Stegostoma tigrinum: one gene and its partners. The protein of the gene in region 2 purifies or fractionates together with the protein of the main gene of each other region. This does not show direct contact. Links are inferred from orthologs where the notes say so. Each region holds a gene or a part of one and is shown on either strand. Other genes may lie near its edges.

Region 1 (7,068 bases), on a different chromosome or scaffold from region 2:
AATACTGCTGTAGCGCTAACGTTAGGTTGGACAAGGGCAAGAGGGTAAGGCCTATAGCAAGTTACCTTCCACATGCCTTGACTGTACCCAGATCCACCTCTCCGTACCACCCAGTGAGACCACACGTCCAAATACAGAACTCGTATGCCCAGGTAGGTTTTTACAAAAGTTCAAGTTCAACCCATTCTGGTTCAAACTTTTCACCCAGTCAGTTATCGAGACCAATGGCGTTCACTGTTCTAATATTGCCTGCTTTGGGATTCTAGGAAATAAAGTGGTGCTTTAAAGGGCTTTTAAATACTCATGTACATTCTGTTCACATAGACAGACCTCCAACTCCTATCTATACAAAATTCCACTCAACCCAGGGCACAGGATGAACAATACACAGTGGAGTTTGTTTAATTAATGCCTGTTTAATTACCTCTCAACTTTACTAAGGTGACAGTCAAGAGTACTGTGCAAGTTCAATCCAACTCACCTCATTCTCTGAACCCTTCTGTCCTTCCTGTGGTTCCTCCTCCATTGTTGGCGGAATGCTGTTATTGATATTAAAGGAGACTGTAACTCTACAAACAGAAAGAGGTAAATGGTCACTATGGATAAAGAAGTAGTCAAAAAGGTGTCACCAGCTGCAATTCTGAACTGCAAAGAATCGGAGAATGACAGGGAGCACGTTCTGATCTCAAACTGCTCACAGCCAAACTTCATTTAAAACTGGGACTAGTAATATATTTGTCATGACATTTAAGAACTTGACAATGATGTACTAAAGCTGAATACTGGTCCTGCACAGGCTAAGGAACTATCAGAATCTACATGCAATGGTGAACATTATAATCTTAATTTGATACTGTAAGCTTTCTAGACTAAATATACAGTGAAATTCTATGATAACTCAGCTCAATATACAAAACTGATTATGGTTTGGGGGGGGGGGTCTTATGAGTTCAAAATTAATTAAATCTCTATTTAATCCTCATTTTGCTTGCTAAAAATTTTCTCGTTAACATGATGCATCTATTATGCAATCTCACTTATTAGACTCTAGAGTCCAAGTTATAACAGACTCCCATTATAGAAGCGCTGTTGTCTTGTGCAGGTTCACAGGCACATGCTTCACAGGAGGCTCCACAACACTGAGGATGTCACCCAGTAAACAGGACAAAATATCTGCTACCAAACCTCCCAGCTCGGCAAACACACCAACATCTACAACCAGTACTGCAGCCACAAATCTTCACTCAAATCCTGGACTTCCAAATGTATTTCAACATATTTTCTAAAATTAAAATGCATTTTTCAGAGTGTAGTACATACTCATTCTACATTCAATTCTTTTGGGGCAGAAGTAACTGGTGCTGAGGTATTGGATTGTTGGCTTAGTTTTCACTTGACTGAGACGTTGTGGATTTAAATGCCCTGCTCCAGGAGTTTGTATATTGATAAAAACAATTACTGCTGATTCAGATCTTAAATACAAGCTGCTGGAGAAATCCAACAGATAACGGCACCATCTCCAGATCCAAAAATGTTACACTGGACTCAATGTTATTTGCTTGGGGAAGCGAAGGCCTGGAGATATTAGCTTTAAGCTATTAATCTGACCGTGGCAAACAGATTTCCTTCCTAAAGAAAAGAAGCTGTCGTTCTTACCTGGTCTGGCCTACACGTGACTGAGGATAACATGGTTGATCTTAACTGTCCGCTGGGATAGAGGATAAATGCTGGCCCTGCCAGAGACACCCATGAGGGAATGAAAAAGAAACTTTAACAGAAACTATCAGCCATGTGGCCTTTGTTACGTACTCCTGTCCATCATCTACTGCACAACAGGAAGTGCTTTCTTTAGGATGAATTGTTAAAGAAATACCATCAAGTTCAGGTGAGATTTTAAAAACAAATCCATGGAACTTGTTTAAAAAAAAACAAATTCTTTTCCTATCCACAATCCACTGACATGATTTTAACTAAAAACATACAAATTGGCTGCTTGCCCAAATGATACCCGAGTGACCTCACTTACTTTTCACCATCAACTTTCCTTACAAGTTTCGCCTCAGTCCCATTCAGCCCAATTTCCCAGCCTCCTGACACCTTCGGCAGTGTTGAACTCTTCTGGATTTTCTTCTCCTCCTTGATTTCATCAGTGAGAAATTGAGCGAATGCTTTGTCACCTACAGGGACAATGCAAATCCAGCCAGTTGAGATCAGATACAAGAACACCCCATCATGTTTCACACAGACAGCGACCCAAAGCTCTCGCTGGTTTCACAGCCAAGGACTTGGCCCTGAAGAAGAGGAGACCTTCAACTTAGAGCCTAAGTTATAGAAGTCAATAGTATAGAAAAGGGCCCTTTAAACCCATTGAGTTTAAGAATAATCATCTAACCATTCTAATCCCACTTTGCAGCACAGCCTGGGTGGGATTGTCTGGCCAAGTTGTGGACAGCAGTGCACAGCACACCAGAGCAGAGAGCCCCACCATGGAACCAGGGAGAGGTGGGCGAGGGGCTGAGAACAGGGATGGGGAGCTGGGGGGCGGGGAACCGGGACGATGGGGAACCTGGGGGGGGGGGGTTTGGTGGTGGTGGGCAGGGGACCTGGGGGGAGGGGGGGGGTTGGTGGTGGTGGGCGGGGGACCTGGGGGGGGGGGGGGGGGGGCTTGGTGGTGGTGGGCGGGGGGGGCGGGGACCGGTTGTGCACCCACCCCCTCCCTTACCCTCCGTGTGCAGGGCCCCGCAGCCGCAGGACACGCCGTTGAGAAGGTGGCTGGAACGGAGCGGCCTGCGGCCCGAGGCCGAGCTGGAAAGCAACCACATGGAGCGAGCGAGGCCGCGGATCCCAGGGGGCCCGGTCCGCAGGACGGAGGCGATCGGCGGTGTCAAGGTGGCCTGAGGGCCCAGGCGGGAGGAGACCGACACGAGCCGGGACAGGAACGAGAGCCTCAGCATGGCAGCAGGGAACGGCGTGAAGATCGTGACCCGGAACCGGAAAAAATCAGAGCAACACCATGTTCCTCCCACCCCCAACCACAACCTATCAGCTGCAGGAATGGAGGAACCAATCAGCTGCAGGGATGGAGGAACCAATCAGCTGCAGGGATGGAGAACCAATCAGCTGCAGGGATGGAGGAACCAATCAGCTGCTGGGATGGAGGAACCAATCAGCTGCTGGGATGGTGGAATCAATCAGCTGCTGGGATGGAGGGAGCAATCATATATTCAAATTGAGCAGCCAAAGAACGATTGGGATCCTTGGATGAATCCACTCTTAAGAGTGAGGGACCAATTAACTGCTTGGATTGAGAGACCGATCAGTTTCTGGGCTCGCAAGACCAATCATCTACTGGGATGAAGGGACCAATCACCTGCTGGGATCTAGGGAACAATCATTAATGGGAAAGTGAGACCAAACAGCATCTGTGATCGAGGGAACAATTAGTTGCTGGGGTTGATGGAGAAAACAGCTGCTAGGATTGAGATACTCATCCGCTTCTGGAATCAAGAGTCCAAATCAGCTGCTGCAATTCAGGGGCCAATCATCTTCTTAGATCAAGGGACTGGTAGCTACTGGCAATGAGCACTAAATGAGATTCTGAGATTGAGGGACTAATTGAGCGGAGGTGTAGCAGTGCTGCGTTCAAGCTCCTGAGTTTGTCCACATACATCTGCTTTTCTTTTTAAATTCCTTTTTGCTTTCGTTTTCTCCTTTTTTTGGTGATGGATGTTGCCTAAGCATGTTCCGGAAGCAGCAGGAGGAAATTGGAGGTGGCTGCTTCAGTGCTGAAGGGATTGTGGCTTTGTCAGGTCTGGAGCGTGGAGCGACGGAAATGTGGAAAGAGCGAGAGGTGACTGAGGTCTCCCCGCATCTGTGACAGCAGTGGTGAGAACCAGACAGCCGACATCTCCCAGAGACTGAACTAAGCAAAGGAGTTCGAGGCCACAGCATGCCTAAGCACACAAGAAAATGTTGCAACTTTAACTTTAATTTCTTTATTTTTCCAATTAATATTAAGGACTTTAATATTAGCTATTACTTTATTTCTCTATTTTTCTGTTTACACCATGATAAACTGTAATGTTTAACTTTTAACATTGTTTCTCTCCTTTACCACTTTCTACCTGGGTACCATTGTACCTGAGAGATAGTAAGAACTGCCGATGCTGGAATCAGAGATAACACAGTGTGGAGCTGGAGGAACACAACAGAAGGGTCCCAACCTAAAATGTCAGCTTTCCTGCTCCTTTAATGCTGCCTGGCCTGCTGTGTTCCTCCAGCTCCACGCTGTGTTACCATTGTACCTAAGATGTGGCAACATTGTACACTTTTCATCTGACAATAAAACATCTAAGTCTAAAACCAAATTTAATCAGCTGCTGGGATTGAGGGACCAATCAACTCTGGAAATGGATGGAACCAATCAGCTGCTTGAGCTGAAGACACAATCAGTTACTGGGATGAAGGGATCAATCACCTGCTGGGATCGAAAGATCAATTAACTTCACGGGATGGAAACACCAATCAACGCTAGGATTGAGAGACCAATCAGCTACTGAGATCAAGGGACCAATCAGCTGCTGCGATGAAGAAACCAATCAGCTTCTGGAATTCAGAGAACAATTAGTTACTGGAATTGGTGGAGCATTCAGCTGGTGGGATCAAGAGACCAATCAGTTGCTGGTGTGGAGGGACCAGTGACAGTGAAGTTCAAAGATCACAGCAACCCCAGTGGGATCGAGGGACCAATCAGCTGCTGAAATGGGTGGAACCAATCAACTGCTGGTTTTTGAACCAGTCAGCTGCTGAAATGGGTGGAACAAATCAACTGGTTCAAAAACCTAGCAATCAGCTAGGGTAAAGGGATGAATCAGCTTTAGGTGTTAAGGAACCAATCAACTCTTAGAATTGAGAGATCAGCTTCTGGGATTGAGGGGCCAATCAACTGTTAGGATTGTGGAACTAAACAGCTGGTGATTTTGAAAAACAAATCAATTGTTGGAATCAAGGAACCAATCAAAGGCATCTAGTCCCAATTTGATACCTGATTTCAATGACAAAAGGGATACAGGATTGTGGAAGGGAATTGTTAGATTGGATGTCTTCCACCTTCACAGGATACTGGATATCACTTGGAGAGACAACATCTAAAAAGATATGCTGCAATAGTCTGGACACAGGTGACTACTGAAGATTGAGAGAGAGATTCAACTGAGACCGACAGGATATATAGTCTCTCTCCCGCCAAGTCAGGAAGGCTGTAATGAGTTGGATCAAAGGATGAGGTTTTGTTCTTTGAATTTACATTGAACTTCATTAGAAAATGGCAGCAAACTGAGGACAGTGAGGTCAGAAAGGAACAAAGTGGAACCTTGAGATCGTGCTTATGGACTGCATGGAAATGTTCTGCAAAGAATTGCAGGATTGTTGCAGCATAGAAAGAGACCATTCGGCCCATTGTGTCTTTGTCAGACCTCAGGATGTGCAATTTGCTCAGAGCCTTTCCTCCATAGCCCTGTACTGTCTTCCTTTTTCAATAATAATCCAATTCCCTCCCAAAGCCATTGACTGAATCTGACTCCAACAAACTCTCAGGTTTTGCATTCCAGATCCTAGCCACTCCATGCATTGCAGAAGTTGATGGGTTGACTAAACACAAATTGGGTGCCTGCTTTCTCATCATGTCTGGAAGCAATGGAGACACAAGTTTGCCCTTGAGTTTAATGATTTTAGATTATAAGCTCTGCATCACTTTTTATTTGGAAACTACTATTGCTGATTCTATTTCTCTTAATGACAGAAACTCTGGACACAAGCTTTATTTCTTTATTAGATTTAGTTCCCCTCTAAGATTCCACTGCTGGCCCTGGTAATTGCATTTGGATGATGTTGCCTGGAGGTTGTGTGTTGTCTCATCACCTTGGAATCAGAGGTCAAACATAGAAAATGCTGGTGCTAAGGTGAAGAAACAGATAAGAGAAGACCTAGACCTAGACAAGCTCTACCTACGTTTGTATAGTTGCCTTAGTCTGGGAGATATATTCTCAGTGTTGGACATCAAGGGGGAACATCAGAAACAAATAGAAGGAACCAAATCAATTCCATCTTTTGACCATCTGGTACATTGTCCATGTAGAACTCTAAACCTATAATTGGATAATGCCATTACTTGCCACCTTCCAAAGTCCCTTTCCTCCCTAATCCCTGCCTAAAACATTGCAGCTTTTAATTCCAGTTGCTGTCCATGTTTAAGCTAGGTCTCAGCTATAGTCACTACATTAGAATTAGCTTTTGCACATGTACTGAAATGATGACAGTGAAAAGTTTATAAGTCCTCACTTAACGCACCATCTTAGGTACAAAGGTACCTAAGTGCAGCTTCTTTAGTTACAAGATCTTAGAAAACAGAGAAATGAAAAGCCCAGCATTGCAGAAATAAAAGTTCAGAACAAGGGTCTTCCAGCCCAGACCATGCTGGCACCTAGCCACCAGGCCTTGGCTCCAGACTGCACGGGGTTTCACCTGGGAGATTGCTCTGGAATCACCTCAAGACTGGGAGTCCACGCTGAGGCCAGACCAGCTCAAGAGACCATCATGCCACACTGGACCACTGCCACGGGAGGCCACTATGTCAGGCTGAGAGGACCTCTCATCATGTTTGTGCTGAGGCCAGGAGTCAATTGAGGGCAGGAGGGAAGAAGAGGAAAAAGACAATGAGCAAGAAAAGAGCAGGCAGAGCAGACAAGCTTTGGCTGAAGCGTCATACTCTGTCACCATCTTGGACCACAGCTCCATTTGTTTGATCTTTTAAAGTGATATGCAAACCAAGCAAACGCGATGTGAGAATACTTTTTCACACAGCATGAATCAGGATATTGAATGCATGACCTGGAAATGTGGAGGCAAGTTCAATTGAAGCATTCAAGAGAGCTTTGGATACTTTTGGATAGTAATGGTGTGTTTGGGGTATGGGAAAGGAAAGGGGATTGGTTATAGATAATACATTCGGTGCAGGGACATTTCTGCTCGAATTCTGTGATTCTGATTTTCTATGTACCTTGTCTTGCT
Region 2 (7,236 bases):
GATGAGAACTGCAAGACCACTCAGAGCAAAGCAATGAGTCAAGGCCATTTACTTCAACAGCTAATATTTAAATCATGTCAGATTTCTGAAGACTAATGACAGACATGGGACATGGAACTACAAGTCTGAAGTCTAGAAACAATTAAAACCTGGAAGTGCATTAAGCAGAAGATACTCAAAAGTCTTTGAGGACAACATACTGGAATGAATAAAAAGGTACATGAAATTCAAGTGAGATGATGTTTTGGAGGAGGATTCCGCTCCTTCTGGAGAAAGGAAATGGTTTGATAAAAGGGGGTTGAAACAATGCATTTAGATAGGAACAGTTTTTAGTGGCTCAGTATATCATCTTATCAAACCAAACTGATCATCAGATTTATTGGCCAGAGTACCTAGACTTTAGGATCTGCAGGTGATGGGGTGCTGGACATATATTTAGAGTAGCCAAAACAACGTAACATAACAAAAACCACACTTCAGGGAGAAGAGTCTGAGGGGGGATAAAAAGAGAAGAGAATAGCAAGGCCAACTGTATTGCTATTTAAAAATAACTTCCACACTATCCTGTTGTATTGTTTAATCAGTGGCAGGAAGAGTTCAATTCTAAACAAACTAGAATACCCATGAGCATTTCCAACCCACAACTCAGGACCAATATCCTGCACTTCACTTACCTGAATATCTGCATCAGACACACCAAAGTCTAAGTTGGACACCAAGAGTTTTCCACCAGTTTCAACACCGCCGCTAGCGCCAAAACCACTGTCAAAAAGGTCATGCTGCCACTTGTCTGGGAGTTGTTTCGGCTATAAGAAAATAGAGATATACCTCGCTGACTTCCTACATTTTGTACCCCAATACATTGGTTAATTTCACATGTCCACCCTATCTATCTTTCCCCTCCCCCTATATTTACAATATATTATAGGCAAGACTGAGTCACTTGCTTCAGCGATTGTCATGGGAGTTTCATTACAAATACACTGACCTTACCTGAAATGGGTTAACTATTTAACAAAATGACATGTGCGTATGTACTGAATATAATTTAGTATCTAATTAAAATGTTTGTACTCAGTTCACTAAGCTAGCAACATATAAAGTGGTCCTGTACACACAATGATAGATGAAAATTAAGCATAGAAAATCAGATGCAACTGTTTACTTGGTGAGAAATGAATTCACTTATTATCCTACCACTGTTTCCACAGCACATCATCTCGAACTAAAGCCTGGATTCCTTCTAATAGCCACTAGCCAGATACTTTGGTGAAATTCTCCTCAGCTGGTGGTAGCTTCTCCAGCAGAAACAGCTGCAACGCCTCCATCTCTTCCAAGCGAGATGCATTCCACTGTCCAAAATTCTTGGCAGCGCAGGAGTCCATAACAAAGGAACGCTTTGCATCAGCTAAGTTCCTTTTAATAGAACTGATCAAGAGTCCTTCAAAAAAAAAGTCCATGACTTGCCAGGTAACCAACCGAGCGAAGGATATGCTCGCAGAAGGTTCACTTTTGTATGAACGTTTCATTAAAGTCCAAAGAAAAAGAGGCAGTTTGAAATAGTCCTGATCAATTCAGGAGTCTGTTAAAGGTGACCAGAGATGCGAAGCTGCCGTCGAGAAATGCGGTGCAAATAATCAATCGAACTTTTGATGTGGTAAAGTGGCAAAAGGTGGTCCTTACAAACAGTCCATCCTTTGTAAATCCGTCGGTGTGAAGCACAAAGGGAGCGAGGGCATTATTACTGCGGCAGGATTGCTGATCCCCACGCTCCTCCCCGACATCTTTGTGCTTCGGGTCGGGCCGCCATTTTAAAGCTCCTGGTGAATTCGGCTCCGGTGTCGACCGCAGGCTCTGCTCGGGAGCCGCCATCACATTTCCGAGCTCTCAACAGACTTGGACGGACGTTTAAAAGCAAATTATTAGCAACGAAAACACGAATTTCCGCTTGTCAGCCTCCTCCGTAGAAATCACGAGGCGCCGTGTAACAATCCCTTCTTCCTCGATTCTCCGACGTTTTCACGAAAAAAAATAACTCGTGGCCAGCGGGGCCCGGGGTTTGTTTTAAAAAGTTAGCGGGCTAAAAGATTTTTGTTTTAAAAAAGTAATGAAAAAAAACCGAATCTATAACGGCTCCAATATGGCGCCGCTCGGTTCAAAATTCAAACCGAACGTTTTATATTAAAAAAAGCACTTCCAGAAAAAAAACAAAATAAAAATCTACAAATGATTTGTTTTTCCTTCCTCTCTCTCTGGATTTAAATGAAACATTTTTTTCCCCTATCATTTCTGTTTTTTTTGTGTGTTAAAACCGCGGTCGCTTCCTACCCTGCTGTACGGAGCCGGTCTGTTTCTTCCTCGGATTGCACTCTGTCTGTTGCGCATGAGGCCTACAGCCAGGGCTCCCGCCCCAGCTCCACCGCCACCGCGGCCTCCCGCTGCTCCACGACCGGCTAGGCCGCCTCGGCCGGCTCCCCGGCCCATACCGCCTCCTCCTCCACCACCACCACCACCTCCTCCGCCGCCGCCGCGGGCACCTCGGCCCCCGCGGCCGCCTGGGCTTTTCTGCCGGTTGAGTTTGATGATGTCGTCCAGGGACATGTCGAGTTTGTCGCCCATTTTTGCTCTCGGAGAAAGGAAAAAAACCCTTTAATCCCTTTCTCCCGCCCCACACAACAAAACCGCCTCTTCACGACGGAGGGCTTGGCTTTCGAGTATCCGACAGGGGAAACGAAAAACAAGCTAATTTTCCAGATTCATCAACAAAAAAACACCTTGATTAAAGAGTGTGTTTTTTTATATATATATAATGTAAATTGGTATAACGATCTATCGCAGCTTTGACCGCGGCGCCGCACCTCACTGACACGGTTAATGGCGGCTTTAAGGACAGAGAGGGCGGGATGGGGAGTGACGACGGCCCGTCCACACACTGCGCACGCGCTGCCCGCCACGGCCGGTCACAATAGCAGTCGTCATCAACGACTCCCACTTAGGATGCGCCCAATCAGCGGGCAAGGCGGGAAGGAACAAACAACGGGGCCGGGCTCTGCCCATTCAGAGAAACTGAGCATGAGACGGAACCCCCGCGGCGGTGACGTGTGCTGACGTCACGCGCAGCCATGGACACACCCCCTCGGGGGTAGCAGGAACTGCAGACGCGGTAAAATCTGAGATAACAAGGTCCGAAACATCTGCCTTCCTGCTCCTCTGATCCTGCTCGGCCTGCTGCGTTCCTCCAGCTCTACACCTCCTCGGGGGAGCAGTTTCTCAGCCTTCATTGGTAACTCCCACAGGAGTTGGGGGGCGAGATGTGGGGAATGAGCAGGGCTGGGTAGCAATACATGGATGGGAATAGGGTGTGTGTGTGTGGTAGGTTGATATGTCGGGAAGACGTTCTGAGGAAGGGAAACGTTAGCTCCGTTTTTTCCCCCTTCATGGATGCTGCCAGACCTGCTCAGATTTTCCAGCAACTTTGCTTTTGTTCCTGATTTACAACACTCATTGTTATTTCGGTTCTGATTTGTGGGAGGGCTATGTGGTTGGGATTTTTCTGCGGGGGTGTGGGATATTTATATGGTGGTGTAAGGGGCATATTTGAGAGGGTGGGCATTTTGTGGGAGTGATTTGAGGGACGTTTCAGGGAGAGGTGGGGGAATTTTTGGGGGAGATTTAGGTTGAGTTGGGGTGAATGGGGTGGGATTAGGGAATCAGATGTGAATGCAGAGAAGTATGGGGATTGGAGAGACAGGGATGCGAGGGATGGGGATAGGTCTAGGAGAAAGATTGGGGGATGGTGGTGTGGAGGGATTGGGGAATGCTAAAGAAAAAATGTTGTAATGCAAAATGGCAAAGATTACCATCTAAAATTGAATCACACATTTCATTGATCAGCTATTAATTTTAACAAGTGTCTTTTGAAGGGGCATACAGAAAACATTGAATCAAAAACGTTTCCACTATTTTGTCTGTACACTGCAGCCCCAGTGGTACCAACCTATCAGTTATAGAAACCAACAACCATACCAGCAGGCACAGCACCTGCCTGCTGCAAGGAAACCTAATCATCAAATAGAGGCAGGTTCCGCTCATCACTGCTTGCTACATGGTGTTGTTCAATAGTTATTTTAGCTTGCTCCAGGGGGCAGATCAACCTTTGTCCCTCTCTATGGCTGGCTGTTTAGACTGAGTCTCCATTCACATATAGGGCTGGGCTACATTAAGTAAAGCCATACAACTGCAGCTTTTTGTTAACATTCTGTTTGCCTCCCAAAATTAGTTCTGCTATTTCAACTCACATCTGGTATAAGTCTAGCATTTTATAGATTCTACCATTAACCCTATCTCCTCTAGTAATATTATAATTTATTGATATCATCATAAACTCGGATTGACTTCAACACAGTGTCTGACTCCCTTGACAGTCCAAAGGGGGAGGCGACGGTCTAGCAGTTTTAATGCTGGACTGTTAACCCAGAGACCCAGGTAATGTTGTGGGGGTCCAGGATCAAATCTTGCCGTGGCAGATGGTAGAATTGAATTTCTACAAAAATCTGTAATTAAGAGTCTAATGATAACTATAAAACCATTGTTGATTGTCAGGAAAAAACCCATATCGTTCATGAATGCCTTTAGGTAAGGAAACTGACATCCTTACCTGGTCTGGATCACATGTAACTCCATCTCACAACAAAGTGGTTGACTCTGAACTATCCCCTGGAATGAGGAACAAATGTCGGCATAGCCAGCAATGTCCCCAGTTAGTGAATGATTTTAAAAAAACATTGCTGCACTGTCCAATTGCCTGCATCAACCACAATTTCCAGATTAATGCAATCAAAATTTAACCCATTCTGTTTGGCCCCTGCCTATAGTCTTTAAATTTGGCCCTTTCCCCCTCTCATATACTCCCTTGGCAACTACCTTTAGGCTAAATCAGGAAGTGTAGAGCTGTTCTACGGTTCAACTTCAAGCTGAGCTCACTAGACATCTATTCTGATGGGGATTGGACTGCTTTCTTCCAACTTCATGACAATGCCACACATCTGTGATAATAAAGTGTGGAGCTGGATGAACACATCAGGCCAAGCAGCATCTTAGGAGCACAAAAGCTGATGTTTCGGGCCTAGAGACCCACATCTGTTTCCATCTCTTTCTCTCCAGCTTACAAATCTTGAAGCCACGTGTTCAGCATTTTACAACTTAACATCAGTAATGAAACTGCATTCCTTCCTGTGTAAAGATTCACCTTCCCATTAGCTAGCACAGTGGCTCAGTGGTTAGCACTGCTGCCTCACAGTGCCAGGGACCTGGGTTTGATTCCACTCTCAGGTGACTGTGTGTGCAGAGTTTGTACATTCTCCCCTTGTCTGCATGTGTTTCCTCCGGGTGCTCTAGTTTTCTCTCACAATCCAAAGATGTACAGGCTAAATGGATTGGCCATGCTAAATTGCCTGGAGTGTTCAGGGATGTGTAGATTAGGTCGGTTATAGGGGGATGGATCTGGGTGGGATGCTCTTAGGGTTGGTGTGGACTAGATGGGCCAAAGGGCCTGTTTCCACACTGTAGGGATTCTACGATTCTATCTGCACAATAGTTCCATAGCCTCACCCCTCACTAACTTTGCAACCTTGTCCAGCCTCTCAAGTCTTCTGTACTCCTCTAATTCTGCTTCTTGTGCTTTCCTAATTATAATCAGTCCACCATGCCTTCAGCTGCCTAGCCTGTGAGCACTGAAATACCCTGCTTAAATTTCTTCAAGCTTTTTCTACTCATTTAAGACATTCCTTGAGACCTACCTCTTTGGCTTCTCCTTACGTGTCAGGTGCCAAGTTTTTGATTATCAGCCTGCTATGTGACGAGACATTTCTACCACTAAACACAAGATGTTGCTGTCCTCTCCAAGAACCATGTGTTTTCCCACCCCTAATTCAAGTCCTTGCATGGACCATCCTCAGTGGTAATCTCTCGCCTTGCTTCCAAGTATATATCCTTCATTTCATACACTTTCTCTTCCAGTTTGACCAGCATTGATCGCTGATTCACACTTCTTACATTACTACAATTTGTATAATTAATTTTCTGTAACTCAAACAAAGCAGTTGCAGCAATCAGTTTCTTTCACACTCAGTTGCTGTTTCTTTTCAGAAGGTCAATGCAATTGAATTGGCGATGCAACGAATACTATTAAACTTCAAGCAGGATATGTTGGTTCAAATTCCATTAACGTTAAGCTTTGCTGTGAGCATTTCTTTCAAAAACTGGACTCCAAAATGAGGGGATAATTAACGAGGAATATTGTTGATGTTGTCTGTGGGTGGAGGAAGGAAATGTCAAACTATTTTGAAGGCATTTCATTAAATACATAATTGTATTTGAGCATTGCAGATCCATTCATAACTTTAAAGGATTTACTGAACAGTCTGAAGCAGGCTAACTTGTTTCAATGGCATAACTTAGAAAATCTGTGCTATATTTTATGGGTTATTGTTTTTGATTCTGCTCATTTTGTCCTTCAGAATAAAATTACAGTAAGAAGCCCATGGGAACAAATACATTGAGTTTGACATTCAGAAATTTATTAGTTGTGCTTGGCATCAGTCACTACCCCCTCAGGAACAATTATTCTTCTGTTTCATCTGTTGAAAATTGTCATTTCCTGGTTACATTCCCATCAAGAGTGAACATATCCCACATGGATTATAAAAGGTCCCAATGTTAAAATCACTGCAGCTGATTAAGGGATGAGTCAAAGGAGACAAGGACATACCTTCTGCCTAGTCACAACTGATTCTATTGATGATTATCATTATTTCTGTACTTTTCAAGAAAGAAAAATCAAAGTACTATAAATGTGGAGTCGGTAATAAGGGCTATAACTGATGAATAAATTCATACTTTATGTTCTAGCAATTGAACAATTACTACCAGTTTGGTCTGAGAATCTTAAATCTCTAATCTTTTACTGCTAATATCTTTCTCAAAGTCAGATTTATATATAGCTATCCCATACGATGTCTGCATTTGTTTATGACAAACTGTTCAATGGATTAAAAACAATTACATTTTGTAACAACATTTGTCATTTCCTTATGATTTTTCATTTTCCAACTAAATTGGTTTGATTCTCAAGAAAGATTCTTGATAAATAACATTTCAATGTAAATATTGGGATAAGGGTTTTAAGAATGGTGGTACTGAGGGGGTGGTTTATGTGGAACATGACCCTGATCGGTC
Region 3 (7,882 bases), on a different chromosome or scaffold from region 2:
AACCTCTGTCTTCTACTTTCAAACCAGTTCTGTATCCAAATGGATAGTTCTCCCTGTAGTGTTCTAGCCTTTGTTAACCAGTCTACCATGAGGGACCTTGTCAAACACCTTCACGAAGTTTGTATAGAACATGTTCACCACTCTGCCTGCAAATCCTCTTTGTTACTTCTTCAAAACAAAAACTGAACCAAGTTAGTGAGACACATTTGCCCATGCACACTTGATGGGAAAACTTCAAAAGCTCCCAACTCCAAAGAAAAATCCAAATGACGTACAGACCAAACAGAAATGTTAAATAACCGATTTCACCCAAAACAGGGGAGGAAAAATTTCCAGTCTGAGGTAGGAGCTGTTGGAATGAGAGATATAAATATATAAAATCAAGAAGCAATCAATGGAACTTTCGTCATTCACAGCTCCTAGCTTTAGCCCGCACTTATCTAGTGCCTTCACAAAAACACAGTAGAAGCCAAGGGAGGACACAAGACACATACTCGAGAAGTGTGTGTGGAAGGAGACGATTTCAGAACACAGGACACAGCTACCTGACATTGCACTGTCAGCTGTGTCTGGTCAAGGGTCAGCAATGCACAAGAGTGAAAGAACATGAGTGCAAACAATAGTGAACAATAATGGACAGGGTTACAGATAAAAGCTCAGGGGTAAGGTTTTCACACAGAGGTTGGTGTGCATATGGAAAGTACTGCCAGAGGAAGTGTTGGAGACTGGTGCAATTACAAAATCTAAAAGACATCTGGATAGGTAGATAATAGAAATACGGGCCAAATATTGGCAAACAGGACTAGATCAGATTGGGACGTCTGGGCAGCACAGATGAGAGGATGAAAGGGTCTGTTTCCCTGCTGTATGGCTCAATAAGGAGGATGAAGACATGAAAAAACCCCAAAAATCAGAATGAGAATGCTTGAAGATTTGGTGATGTAAAATTAATGAGGACAGGAAACAGCACCTAACTGGATGTAGGAAGAGGTGATTCAGTGAACAAAGTGGTAGATGACAGATGTAAAACGTCTACCCCACTACTCAGATGCTCCCCTTATAAATCAGACTTTCTTTTAAAAAATAATTTAACAAATTAACAGCACCTAAAGATCTAAACTGAGCTACGGTCAGAAACAATCCCTAAAATTAATAGTGACTGGTGCATTCCTTCAGGATTACCTCATTAAAACAGGCACTGAAAGAAATAGAAGATAGCAAGAACTGTTGATACTGGAGTCAGAGATAACAGTGTGGAGCTGAAGGAACAGGACAGTTGATGTTTCGGGTCACGAAGAAGGGTCCCAAAAGTTGACGTTTACTACCACTCTCACCCCACTAAAAACAAAAACTTTCATTGCCCGTACACCCCTCTAAGTTTCCTGCTCCTCTGATGCTGCCTGGCCTGCTGCATTCCTCTCGTTCCACACTATTATCACTGAAACTAATATTAAAGGTTTAGAGGGATTTGGACCAAACACAGGCAAATGGGACTAGCTGAGTTTGGACAGAACATTCTGTTTCCATGTTGTATGGCTCCATAAAACTGCACCTTTTGTAACACATTAACTATACATTCAAATTGGTGAGATTAATACAAATTCAGGATACAGCATTAAGCATCTGTAAATTTTAGAGAAAATTATGAACATGTATTAACTTCATATTAAAATCATGATTAATACAAATTCAGGAAATTGTATTAAGCCTGTATAAACTTTACCACAGAACTCATGAGCACGCATTAGCCACATATCAAAATCAGTGAGACTGACAGATTTTCAATTCAGCATTAACAGCCTTTGTAAACTTTACAAGAAAAATCACAAGAAACTCGAGGTTACTGTGTCAACCAAACCTCAGGCACAATTCTGACAGGGAGGATGAGGCTAAACATGGATTTGGATAGAAGGTCTGGTAAGTCAACTTATAAACACAGACACAGTTTTTAAGAAACCTTAAAAGTCCCAGCTCCACAAACCAAAAGTGGACCCAACATGACAGAACTTAGAGGAGATAAAAATCGACACATTACCTAAGGCCAGAGCGTCCAAAGACAACTGAGGCCAGTAGCCCCTCTCAAGCAGCGGGGGAGGGAAAGTGGGGTGTTGGGGGGCGGGGGTGGTAAAGAGAACTTTTGGCTCAAGTGAAAAGAAGTCCAGAAAAAAAATTACGCTTTGCTAAGCAAGACAATTATGCACAGTTGGCTCCAAGCTATAGATGGGAGATTCAGACTGAGAACCGTCATGAGGGCAAACAAAGGGACATTCCCCACCCCCTCAACCAGCTATCTCATTTGCCCTGAAACAGAAAGGTAAGCTGGACTGCTTTCAATTAGAAACGTGGATAGAGAGAGAGAGAGAGAGAGAGAGAGAGAGATGGATAGAGAGAGAGAGAGACACAGAGAGAGAGAGAGAGAGAGAAAGAAAAAGAAAGAGAAAGAGGAAGCAGGTGGAAGGAGTGAAAATTGTGAAACACTGAAGGGATAATGGAGCTGGTGAGTGTGTTTGAGGGTTGGGGGGGGGGGGGGTTCTTCTATACCTACAATGACTAGCAGAGCTGGGTGGGGAATGAAGTCTTTTTGGGGGGGGGGGGGGGGGAAGAACGATAATAAAGTTCACCCACCCCCACAAAGGAGGGAGGGGGTGGGGGGGGGGGGGGGGGACAGTAATGCACCTCCCTCTCCCGCCAAGGGGCCTATCCTCTGGCTAACAAACCCCACCCCAGGGCGGGGGCCAATAACTCGAGGCCTCGTTTCACAGCACCCTCCCCCTCCCCGGGAACATTTCCCCCCCCCCACCACACGGACAATTAATTAAATTTGAGGCGCCCCCCTCCTCACCAATCACACCATGTTTATTAATTAACTGATCAAAACCACCGCGTCGGGCTTTTATTGCGAAGCCAACCTGGACCTCCACACTCGTCTTCGACCCCGCGGTCCTCAAAGCCGCCCTCCAGCACCTACCTCCATGCACTCGGCCATCTTGTGAAAGAAGGGCCGTCATCTTCGTCATCGCTTTTATACACGACGCCTTGGTTTCCCCGCCCCTCCACCTGTCGTTCATTGGCTCGGTCTTTAACCCCGGCCCCACCTCTACATCTTCTATTGGTCAGGCTGACCGCTCATCGGAACCACCGCTTGCGGCTCCCAACACCCATTGGTTCTTTCAAAAGTCCGTCACATCGAGCCGTCTCTCCTTCCCATTGGGCGGCGCGTCTGATAGGCGGGACCAGGCTCCAACGGCCTCCTTCCATTGCATACATCACATGCCTATCAGTCTGTGGAGGCGGACCATCGCCCGGAGTCGGCCCTCCTCTGACTTCCGATTGGCCAATACGCTCCATCAGGAAATACTGAAGGTTACAGCCGCACACACGTGGAGTCAGTCATTTAGTTCGGAGCATCCTCTCGCTTGGAGGCTAATCTAAATACATATACCATAGGTTACTAGGACAAGTTTACTCTAAATCCCACAACCTGGAAGGATAAACCCCTAAACATTAGGTATACATCTGTCCTTTAGATGCACACTACATACAGTGCTCACTGCCGTTTACACATCTGAAATATTCGACCTTTTGGAACTTTCAGAACATAAAACTTAGAGGATTTGGAGGAGGTCACGCAACCCCTCAAGTTGGCTGCACAAATGGTCAGATTTGATAATGACAGTGATGGTACAGTGGTAGTCCACCTATCCCCAAAAGGGAGGCCAGAATTGATGTCCCACCTGCTCCAGAGTGCATAGAGTCATACAGGGTTCCAGCACAGAAAAAGAACCTTCCGCCCATTGAGTGATGGTCAAAATCAACCGTCTCGCTATTCTAATCCCATTTTAATGGGGATCTTGTGGCAAAGTACTATTGCTTTGACCTCTGAATGAAAAAGCCTGGGTTCAAGTCCCACCTGCTCAAGAGGTAGAGTTACAGATTTGTACAGCACAGAAACAGACCTTTTGGCCCAACTCGTCCATGCTGATCAAATCTCCTAAATTAAATCTACCCCAATTTACCAGCATTTGGCCTAGATCCTTCTGAACTCTTTCTGTTCATAAACCCATATAGCTGTCTTTTAAATGTTATAATTGCACCAGCTTCTATCATTTCCTCTGGCAGCTCATTCCATACATGCACCATGTGTAATAATCTCTCTGAACAGACTGATTAGAAAATAAAAACCCACAAGAAATCATGAACAAAAACAGAAATTGCTAGAAAATCTTAGCAGGTCTGGCAGCATCTGTGGAAAAAAAAATCAGAGTTAACGTTTTGGGTCTTGTGGCCCTTTGTTTTTGGATCCTTACAAGAGAAGTCCAAGAAAAGTGCAGACAGCAGCCATTTCTATACACAGCCTTCTCTGAATTCACAAAAGCTTCTAACTCCGTCAACTAGGTGGGATTGTGTAACATCCTCTTAAAGTCATTTATCATCCTCCATTTGCTGTAAACTGTGAAACAGAACATAGAATGCTAGAGAATCTCAGCAGGTCTGGCAGCATCTGGGGAGAGAGAAACACAGTTAACATTTCAAGTTCAGTAAAATCTCTTTGGCAGAACATGCAAATTATAGTTCTCACCAATGAATGTGCTACAAACCCAATTTTGTGTAAACTCAGGCCAAGCAAAGTTTTGAATTATAGCAACATTATTCTCCATCTTCCCTGCTCAAATAATTCAGAAGACCTTTAAAGATGTAGGAGCACAATTAGGTCACTCAGCCCATCAGGTCTGGTCCACCATTTGTTCACGGCTGATGTGTTTGTCAGCACCATTTTCCTGCCAGCTCATCGTAACCTCCAAACCTATGCATTACTGTCTTTTATACAGTCAACGACTGGCCTCAACACCCGTCTGTGACAATGAGTTTTACAGATTGACCATCCTCTGGCTGCAGATACTCCTCCTCATCTCAGTTCTAAAGGGTATTCCCTCCACTCCACATCCATGAAGGTTCCAGCCAGAGTGCGGCTTCTTTACACGAGCAGGAAACTGTCCACCCTGCGTAGTCCCCAGCCCAGAAACAACGCCACCCCCAACCTCTAGCATTGAGCTACCACCTGCAGATAATGTCTGCACGTCTGCATATTCAGAGGCTGAGCTGCTAACCATACATTAATGGAGGCGGTAAAGTAGGGATTAGACTAAACATTGGAAAGCAAAGGAATCTATTAACGTGCTCCTGCTGTACAACATAAAAACCAAAAGGATTGCAGATTCTGTAATTCAGGAATAAAAACAGAAGTTGCTGGAAAAGCTCAGCAGGTCTGGCAGCAGAGTTCTGAGGAAGGGTCACTGCACAAGAAATGTTGGACTCTGATTTGTTTTCGCGGATGCTGCCAGATTGCTGAGCTTTTCCAGCAACTTCTGTTTTGCTTTCTGGCATGCAACACTTGCCTGACCATCACAGATCAATGGCAAATCACTACACAGTTTAGATTATATCACATAACTTGGCTCTCTCTTTTCAATGAAGGAGACAATGAAATTCTCCACGATGCCAGTTATGTCTTCCATGGGACAACAGTGGCTACCCTTAAAAATTACACTGTTAGCTCTAAGACATTATAGGGTATCCTGAAGTTGAGATCAAGGCAATATGGAAACAGAAGCTCATCATTTCTTAACCACTGAAGTTCCATTTTAATGAGCAGGAACTCCAGCTAGCCTTCATAAAAACAATGTCAGTCACTGACACCTAAAGAAGGTGCGAGACTCCGAAAGCTTGTCTCTTCAAACAAACCTGTTAGACTATAACTTGTCGACTTTCACAAAAATAGGAAGGTGAATGAGACAGCAATCTAACCATGAAATCATCACTCACCTTCTGCACATCCAGTCATCAGCGACCATAATTTGACCAAGGGATTTGAATTAAATGCTGGAGGAATGCCTCCTCTTGGTTGCAAACATCCTTGATGATCCATTTAACTACTAATTTTAAGCTCTGGAATAAGCCAAATTATAACCAATACTTCTAATTAACTAAGTGACTCAAGACATTTCACAAACGCATTACCAGACGTTTACAGTGGTTAATACTGCTTCCTCACAGCGCAAGAGACCCGGGTTTGATTCCAGCTTCGGGCAACTGTCTGTATGGGGCTTGCACATTCTCCCTGTGTCTGCATGGGTTTCCTTTGGGTGTTCTGGTTTCCTCCCACAGTCCAAAGATCTGGAGGTTAGAGCGGACTTGCCATGCTAAATTGCCCATCGTGCCCAGGGATGTGCTAGCTAAGTGGGTTAGCCATGTAAGAGTACATGGATAGGGTGGGGGGTGGGGGGGGGGGTGGGTGGGGGGTGGGGGGGGGGGGGGGTTAAAGTCTGGGTGGGATGCTCTCCTGAAGGTCAGTGTGGACTCGATGGGCCAAGTGGTTTGCTTCTGTACTGCAGGGATTCTGTGATTCTATTTAAACCAAAAACAGATGAAGCTGGTAGGCCCCGTAAACCCCTGCAAGGTCTTGGAGAATGATCGAGAGAAAGGATGTTTAGTGAAGGAATTTAAGAGCTTAGGGTCCATGCAGCAGAACATATGGTTGCACGTTCCATTGTTGCAAAGGGAGACAAAAGTTGAAACAGTACATGTTATTAAACTGGAAAGGGGACAAAAAAGATTTAAGGATATTACTGAGACTGGAAAATTTGAATTATAGGGAAGAGGCTGGGACTGTTTTCCCTAGAACATGGGAGGCTGAGTGGTGACTTTATTGAGGTTTAAAAAAAAAGAGGGGCATAGGTAAGATGAATAGCCAAGGTCTTTTCCTCAGCATTGGGTATCTAAAACGCGAGGGCATAGGTTTAAGGTGAAAGGAGAAAGATTTAAAAAGGGACCGGAGGGGCAACTTTTTCACACAGAGGGTGGTGCATATATCGAATAAGCTGCCAGAGGAAGTGGTAGAGGCTGTACAATTACAACATTTTAAAGGCATTTGGGCAGATAAATGAATAGGAAAGGTCTAGAGGGACATGGGCCAAATGCAGGCAAATGGGACTGGGTCAGTTTAGGAAACCTGGTCGGCATGGAGGAGTTGGGCCGAAGGGTCTGTGTACCTCTATGACAAAATCAGAATCAGACATCCATGCTGAGGAAAAACAATAAGTGTCTCATCACACCTCATTAGAAAGACATTTATTTGTAAAACATCTGTACAGAGGATGTTAAAAGATCCTTACAAATTAGAGTTGAGCTTCAAACAATTTAGTTCATACAAACTACACCCAGCAAGAATATGAAACATGTCTAAACACATCATATCTTAAACATATTATCAATAATCTGACTGAATGGTCTTTTTCAGTATTGTAATCATTCTAAATGCATACTTATTAGTTGCTGGATAGTGATAAGGAAGCACAGGCGGACAATTCACATCCCCTTAGGTACACAAAGACTTTCCCTTGTCAAGGTTTTCTTTGTATCGGCTTCTGTGGGTCCAGGTAGACCTTTGCCAAGTGCCAGGAGTAAATAGCTTAGAGGTATTATCCCTCGGCTATTAATCCAGAAGCCCAGGTAATGTTCTGGGGATCCACGTTCAAATCTTGACCGTGGTAGATGAACCTAATAAAAATCTGAAATTAAGAGTCCAGCGACAATGAAACCGTTACCAATTGTTGGGAAAACCGATCCAGTTTCCTGATGCCCTTTAGGGAAGGAAAGTGCCAACTTTATCCAGTTTGTGACTCCAGACCCACAGTGATGTGAATGAGTTTTAACTGCCCTGTGGGCAATAGGAGATGCTAGTCTAGCCAGTGATATTCATGTCGTGTGAATAAAGAAAAATAAAGTGACCATTCTACAGAAGCATGAGAGTCAGCCCCTCAAGCATCTTCCATCATTCCATTCCATTAGATCATGACTAATCTGAAAATTCATTCCTTTTACC

What was found. Proteins that work in one complex are often made in the same cells at the same time.
Region 1: the proteins of alyref (region 2) and c1qbp purify together in Homo sapiens (affinity purification with mass spectrometry; 3 studies listed by BioGRID and IntAct, with this or other methods). This does not show direct contact. The link is inferred for Stegostoma tigrinum from reciprocal best matches to the Homo sapiens genes ALYREF and C1QBP.
Region 3: the proteins of alyref (region 2) and prmt1 purify together in Homo sapiens (affinity purification with mass spectrometry; 3 studies listed by BioGRID and IntAct, with this or other methods). This does not show direct contact. The link is inferred for Stegostoma tigrinum from reciprocal best matches to the Homo sapiens genes ALYREF and PRMT1.

The regions. Positions count from the first base shown.
Region 1 is NC_081380.1:3,374,924-3,381,991, forward strand, and holds the start of c1qbp (complement component 1 Q subcomponent-binding protein, mitochondrial), read right to left. Parts: upstream 3,014-7,068; 5' UTR 2,955-3,013; coding exon 2,723-2,954; intron 2,178-2,722; coding exon 2,027-2,177; intron 570-2,026; coding exon 482-569; intron 1-481.
Region 2 is NC_081375.1:11,189,979-11,197,214, reverse strand, and holds the start of alyref (THO complex subunit 4), read right to left. Parts: upstream 3,018-7,236; 5' UTR 2,620-3,017; coding exon 2,329-2,619; intron 807-2,328; coding exon 675-806; intron 1-674. UniProt on the Homo sapiens protein: Functions as an mRNA export adapter; component of the transcription/export (TREX) complex which is thought to couple mRNA transcription, processing and nuclear export, and specifically associates with spliced mRNA and not with unspliced pre-mRNA.
Region 3 is NC_081391.1:22,304,063-22,311,944, forward strand, and holds the start of prmt1 (protein arginine N-methyltransferase 1), read right to left. Parts: upstream 3,014-7,882; 5' UTR 2,987-3,013; coding exon 2,969-2,986; exon of another isoform or gene 2,910-2,968; intron 1-2,909. UniProt on the Homo sapiens protein: Arginine methyltransferase that methylates (mono and asymmetric dimethylation) the guanidino nitrogens of arginyl residues present in proteins such as ESR1, histone H2, H3 and H4, FMR1, ILF3, HNRNPA1, HNRNPD, NFATC2IP, SUPT5H, TAF15, EWS, HABP4, SERBP1, RBM15, FOXO1, CHTOP, MAP3K5/ASK1, MICU1 and NPRL2.